Linked DNA regions of Callithrix jacchus. The protein of the gene in region 1 interacts with the protein of each later gene in a pairwise test. Links are inferred from orthologs where the notes say so. Each region holds a gene or a part of one and is shown in the gene's direction. Other genes may lie near its edges.

Region 1 (3,654 bases):
TCCTCCTAGGGTCAAGCGATTCTCCTGCTTCAACCTCCTAAGTAGCTGGGATTACAGGCGGATGCCACCACAACCAGCTAATTTTTGTATTTTTAGTAGAGATGGGGTTTCACCATGTTGGCCAGACTGCTCTTGAACTCCTGACCTCAGATGATGTGCTCGCCTCGGCCTCCCAAAGTGCTGGGATTACATAGACATGAGGCACTGCACCCAGCCAGTGAAACAGCTTTTTAACAGAAATGCCAAGAATTCTTGCTAGATAGGTAGATAATATTTTTTAGATAAATATTAGCTTTATAAAGATATTTTCTTTATAAATACATTTAGAAGCATAAATTAAGTGATGTAGTTTAAGCAGAAAAAACTGCCTATTTCAGAATGTTGTGAAATAATTTCTTGTTTTCTTGAAAATATATTTGCTTCATAGTATTTGTTTTTAGAGTGCCATTGAAAGAAAATCTCACAGGCTATTAGCACTAATTTTTTATCACTTTATGTTTAGAGAAATGGATAGAAAATTAGTGGATAAAATTAACAAGAAGGATATTGGCAACAATAAGAGAAAACAAAAATAAGACAGTTCAGGATGAGATTATTTGAGTTGTCTTAGAAAAGCCGGCTGAGTATAGTGGCTCACACCTGTAATTCCTGAACTTTGGGAGGCCAAGGTGGGCGGATCACCTGAGAAGTTTGACACCAGCCTAGGCAACATAGCAAAATCCTGTCTTTACCCCAAAAAAAAAAAAAAAATTAGCTGGGTGTGGCAGTGTGTGCTTCCAGTCCAGCTACTCAGGAGGCTAAGGCAGGAGAATTGCATGAGCTCTGGAGGTGGAGGTTGCAGTGAGACAAGATGGTGTCACTCCACTCCAGCCTAAGCAACAAAGACCCTGTCTTTTAAAAAAAAAAGGAAATAGCAGATTGTTAAGGAAGAAAATATATGATTGGCAGATACATAATTACAGATTTCTGTGATTTGACTATATAATTACGATAAAGATCTAAGTAACTTTTAGCTCTACTGATTTTTTTATTAAGAAAATGCTTTTGCCTGCAGAGCTTTCTTAATTGGGATATTTTTATATTTTGGGTTTTAGGGCAGCTGCAATGACTCTCCGCACGGTACTATTGTCATTGCAAGCACTATTGGCAGCTGCAGAACCAGATGATCCACAGGATGCCGTAGTAGCAAATCAGGTAAGATGGCTGCTTTTGAAAGACTTTGTTACGTATGAGTCCCTAACCATTTTAGTGGTTTTGCAACGTTAACACATGAGCATACTCTCTTGAAACTAAATTTTGAAATGGTTTTCTTCCTTGTGGTAGGATTATTTTGTCAGATGTAATAGTGAAAACTGAATTAATAGAATGTTAATATCCTAGTTTAATTGAATATATAGATGCTGTTTTCCTGACATGAATATTTTTAAACGCATAAAGTCAAAATAATTACACAGTGAACACTCATATTCCTACCATCTAGATTCTATGATTAATGCTCATGTATGTATCCTTCTATTTATCCTTCCATTCATTGATGATCCCTCACTGCTAATAATTTTAATCACCTATCATGGCACTGATGTGGCATGGCAGAGTTGCCGATGACCTTGTAATTGTTGAATGGAATAAATATTTTTCATTTCGCTTTCCAGCTACAGTGGCTGAGTTTAATAGTTACAACAGAGACTGGACTGAAGTTATTAGTATCTGACCCTTTAAGAAACAGTTTGCCAGCCAGGTGCGGTGGCTCATACCTGTAATCCCAGCACTCTGGGAAGCTGAGGTAGGCAGATCACTTGAGGTCAGGAGTTGTAGACCAGCCTGGCCAGTGTGGTGAAACCCTGTCTCTACTGAAAACGCAAAAATTAGCCCAGTGTGGTGACACACACCTGTAGTTCCAGCTACCTGGGAGGCTGAGGTGGGAGAATCACTTGAACCTGGGAGGCAGAGGTTGCAGCAAGCTGAGATCGTGCCATTGCACTCCAGCCAGTATGACAGAATGAAACCCTGTCTCAAAAAAAAAAAAAAAGTTTGTTGATACCTATTCTAAGCCATTGGAATATAATGAGCATTCTTTTTTTTTTTTTAATTTATTTAACTTAGAAAGTTTTTCTTCTCTTTACTTCTAAGATATTACCCTCTTTTCTTCCTAACTTTATAGCTGTTCTTTGTTCGTTCCCACAATTATTTTTCTTCTTCTTTTTTAAATGTAGTTCCTCAGTTCTGACCTTGTTACCTTTATTTTCTGTACACACTAACACTTGGATGATCATATCCATACTGATGTTACCACCTGTACATTGATAAAATGTTTAGGCTTGCCCTTTCTGCTAAGCATGAAAGCCTGGTGTTTAACTAAATTGGTGATGGTATCATAGAATGATAGGTTCATAAAACGATGGTGTTACACTGAGACATCCAAGGAACATTCATATAGTTAACCACCAAGTCACAGCCTTTGGAGTTTTTCTCTGTGTCTCCTTTTATCCTGATAACCATTCCCTATATCGCTCTGTTACTCTATTTACGTAATTACTCTGATTGCCGTAGGTCACTTTTTTTTTTTTTTTTTTTTTTTTTTAATATGAGACGGAGTTTCGCTCTTGTTACCCGGGCTGGAATGCAATGGCATGATCTCGGCTCACGGCAACTTCCACCTCCTGGGTTCAGGCAATTCTCCTTCCACAGCCTCATGAGTAGCTGGGATTACAGGCACGCGCCACCACACCCAGCTAATTTTTAGTAGAGACAGGGTTTCACCATGTTGACCAGGATGGTCTCGATCTCTTGACCTCATGATCCACCCGCCTCGGCCTCCCAAAGTGCTGGGATTACAGGCTTGAGCCACCGCGCCTGGCCCATAGGTCACTTTTAAAAAATTGTTTCATTTCGACTGCTCTGATAGATCTCTCTTTCTCAACCTCTTTCTTCCTTTCTCTGTCTTCTACATTGCTATCAGGTAGCTTTATAAAGTGCAAATCCTACTTTACTTCGTTAACAAAAACTTGTTTGTAGCTCTATCACCTACTCAAGTCCAAATTCTTTAGCTTGCAGATCTGAACTCTCTGCAGACCTAGCTTTATTTCCTGAATTGTTTTCTTCAAACTCAGGCTTTTTCAAGCATTGCATTTATTTTTACATACTGTATCCAATCTCTTCCATATTTCCTCTGCCTGAGGAAACTTCCTCTTGGCATACTTCTTTAACCTGTAAGGTTTTAATTTATATATTACCTTCTTTTCCCTTCAAGATCTGTTTACTCCTTGCTTTATGTATATATCCTTGTAAACATGTTCTGTTATTTGCCTCAGAGTCCTTCCACTTAGGGTTTTCCATGTTTTATTTATGTGCTATTTATTCATATTTGGTTGTTAAAATCATGGCTTGAGTTCCAGCTTTGCTTTCCTGTTGTGCTCTAAGCCTTAGAGGTTGAGGTTGGACTGAGAGTTTCTTAGCCCCTAAAGTAGTTCAGTAATTTAACTTATTTCCTTATGAAGCAGTGATATAAACAAGATTTATCATTTTAATATGTACTATATTTAAATATATAAAGTGCTTTTAAAAGAAATAGTAAAGTGAATTGAATAGTAATTTATACTTTGCTTTACTAAGTAACGGTGTTTCCAAAGTATTTGATACATTTACCTCTTCCAA
Region 2 (3,246 bases), on another chromosome or scaffold:
TTGCTGAATGTGGAGTGGGAGCTGGGGAGCTGAGGGTACAAAAGGCACCAGTAATGGAGACAGCTAAGGCCCATGATGGCTCCTTGTCCTCTGCCTTGTCTCCCTAGGTCCTAAATGCCCAGAAGGCTGGATATGGTGCCGCTGTAGTACACAATGTGAATTCCAATGAACTCCTGAACATGGTGTGGAATAGTGGTAAGGCTGAGGCAATCTAGACAGCTGGGCTTTCAGTAGGACACAGACAGAGATGGTGGGAAGGCTGAAGGTTTCAGGAAAAGAGGGCAATACTTTAGATGGGGCGGGGCCAAAGTGCCAAATGCCAGGGTTCCCAAAGGATTTGAATAGAAGCTCGTGTCCCCAGAGTAATACCTTGATCCCTGCAGAGGAAATCCAGCAGCAGATCTGGATCCCATCTGTATTTATTGGGGAGAGAAGCTCCGAGTACCTGCGTGCCCTCTTTGTCTACGAAAAGGGGTAGGACATGTGCCTCCTTCCCATTCTTCCTTCAACAAGCAAGTTCCATGCCAACCTGGAGCCGAGGCCTCCTCACTGCCTCAACCATTCAGCCTCCTGTCCTTCCTTCCCTGCCTCTTTCTTCCCATTCCCTTCCCTATCCACGGGCTTTGTACAGAGCCACTTACTTCGTCCCTTTTTTTTTCCTCCCTTTGCCTTTCTCGCCCTGCTAAGACTGGTCATCCTTTCCCCAGGGCTCGTGTGCTTCTGGTTCCAGACAATACCTTCCCCTTGGGCTATTATCTCATCCCTTTCACAGGGATTGTGGGACTGCTGGTTTTGGCCATGGGAGCAGTAATGGTGAGTAACTGAGGGAACACAATGGGAAGTACTGAGGCCTATGTGGCCAGACTGGATCTGGAGTTGGGAATGGTTTGTCCTGGATTGTCTAGTTTTGTTCCTAAGCCTTGTCCATCCACTCCCCCTTCCCCCAGATAGTTCGTTGTATCCAGCACCGGAAACGGCTCCAGAGGAATCGACTTACCAAAGAGCAACTGAAACAGATTCCTACACACGACTATCAGAAGGGTGAGGGGTTTAGGGGAGAAAAGAGCTTTTCCCACTGTTTACCTGGTTCTGAAGGACTTTGAGCCCAGAAGATAGGGTGTACAGAGATAGCAGTGGCTGGGCACAGTGGCTCACATAATCCTAAATGCTCACTTTGGGAGGCCGAGATGGGCAGATCACTTGAGCCTGGGAGTTTGAGACCACCCTGGGCAACATGATGAAACAAAAAAATCCCAGCACTTTAGGAGGTTGAGGTGGGTGGATCCCTTGACCCCAGGAGTTCCAGGCCAGCCTGTGCAACATGGCAATACCCATGACTATAAAAAACACAAAAATTGGCTGGGTGTGGTGTACTCTTGTAGTCCCAGCTACTTGAGAGGCTGAGACAGGAGAATCATTTGAACCAGGAAGGCAGAGGTTGCAGGGAGCTGAGATTGCCCTACTGTGCTCCAGCCTGGGTGACAGAGGGAGTCCCTGTCTCAAAATAATAATAAAAAGAAAGATGGCAGTGAGAAGGTTTCAGCTTATGATGCCATCTTTTCTTCTCCTTTTACTCACAATGAAGACGAGAGAGGAGATGGAATAGAGATGGCAAGCAAAGATGATTAAGTGAAATAATTGGGGAAACAACAGAGGGACAGACTTTGCTGATAAGGGATGTAGAGCAGAAAAATGGGAGAAATGGGGAGGATTCTGTTAGAGAAGGAAAAAACAGGTACCAAGGGGCTGGGGCTTTAGGCCCTGGGGCCTCCAGTGCCCATATAAGGCTATGGCAGAAGCCCTGCCCATTTCCGTTCTTTCCACTCCCTCTCCACCCTCATACCTCCCCAGAAACCCACTTCCCTTCTTACCTCTGCTTGTCTTTGTCCCTTCTAGCCCCAAATCCTTCCATGTTCTGCCCTGACCTTATCCTGCCCACCTGTCAGCTTTCCCACTGGCTTTGTAGGCAAGGGAAAATTTTTGCAAGGCTTTAAAAGCCCTAATGAATTAAGGGACCTGGTTCATGATGGCTCAGTGAAGGACTAGATTTCTTTCTTTCTGTCCCAGGAGACCAGTATGATGTGTGTGCCATATGCCTGGACGAATATGAGGATGGGGACAAGCTGCGGATACTCCCTTGTGCTCATGGTGAGGCCTTCACTGTCTGCACATGCCCCTATGCCACTGGCAGCCTCTAGGCATTTCACCTTGTTCCTCTCTGCAGCCTACCACAGCCGCTGCGTGGACCCCTGGCTCACTCAGACCCGGAAGACCTGCCCCATCTGCAAGCAGCCTGTTCATCGGGGTCCTGGGGATGAAGAGCAAGAGGAAGAAACTCAGGGGCAAGAGGAGGGTGATGACGAAGGGGAGCCAAGGGACCACCCTGCCTCAGAAAGGACCCCACTTTTGGGTTCCAGCCCCTCTCTTCCCACTTCCTTTGGTTCCCTAGCCCCAGCTCCCCTTGTTTTTCCTGGGCCTTCAACAGATCCCCCACCCTCTCCTCCCTCCTCTTCTCCTATTATCCTGGTCTAGTAACTGTCCTCCCCACCACACACACTGGTAACCTATTTGCACATTTTCTTCCCTCCAGTTTTCTAAGTTGAGGGATAGGGGACATTTCCATCCCAAGCTTCTCCCTTACCCAGACCTATCCTTTTCAGGAGCCTTGGGGTGGGCTGGGACAAGCAAAGGGACTGGGTCTTCACTTCTTGGGCTAATAAAATTGTTTTTGTGGACTAAGGAAGGGTGAGATCATTCTCACACCGGTGAACTTAACCCTTTGGGGTAATCACCCCTTTAGCCGTAAAGAGCAAGGGAATGCTGGGAGACACTAACCTATCGTCATGGGGACAGCCCCACAGGCATTTGCTATGACTCAGAAGGGGAGCCCCACCCACAAGGATGACTCAACTGGCCCTGCCTTGCCTGCAGGCCTGGACCCATTTTCTGATCCAGATGGCCCTATTCCATTACCCACCAATTTGACGAGCATACTGAGGACTTAGGCTTAGAAATGCCACTGTGGAGGGGCAGGGCCACCTGGCCAGAAGCTTAAATCCCTGCACCTTGTAGTGCTTCAACCTTCCTGCTCCCAAGCCGCTTTTAAAGGAAACAAGTCACAGTGCCTATCCCATTCTGACACCCAAGCTCAAATCACACAGCACCTTATTAGTAGAATCTTTTTTATTCAGAAAAAAAAAAAAAAAAAAAAAACCCAAAAAACAAAAATGTTTTCCAACCACACAC

What was found.
Region 2: the proteins of UBE2K (region 1) and RNF167 interact in binary tests that used the Homo sapiens proteins (3 or more experiments, as listed by UniProt). The link is inferred for Callithrix jacchus from reciprocal best matches to the Homo sapiens genes UBE2K and RNF167.

The regions. Positions count from the first base shown.
Region 1 is NC_133504.1:154,051,857-154,055,510, reverse strand, and holds part of UBE2K (ubiquitin-conjugating enzyme E2 K), read left to right. Parts: intron 1-1,094; coding exon 1,095-1,194; intron 1,195-3,654. UniProt on the Homo sapiens protein: Accepts ubiquitin from the E1 complex and catalyzes its covalent attachment to other proteins. In vitro, in the presence or in the absence of BRCA1-BARD1 E3 ubiquitin-protein ligase complex, catalyzes the synthesis of 'Lys-48'-linked polyubiquitin chains.
Region 2 is NC_133506.1:106,512,094-106,515,339, forward strand, and holds the end of RNF167 (E3 ubiquitin-protein ligase RNF167), read left to right. Parts: intron 1-107; coding exon 108-195; intron 196-383; coding exon 384-474; intron 475-707; coding exon 708-813; intron 814-947; coding exon 948-1,041; intron 1,042-2,067; coding exon 2,068-2,148; intron 2,149-2,224; coding exon 2,225-2,532; 3' UTR 2,533-2,739; downstream 2,740-3,246.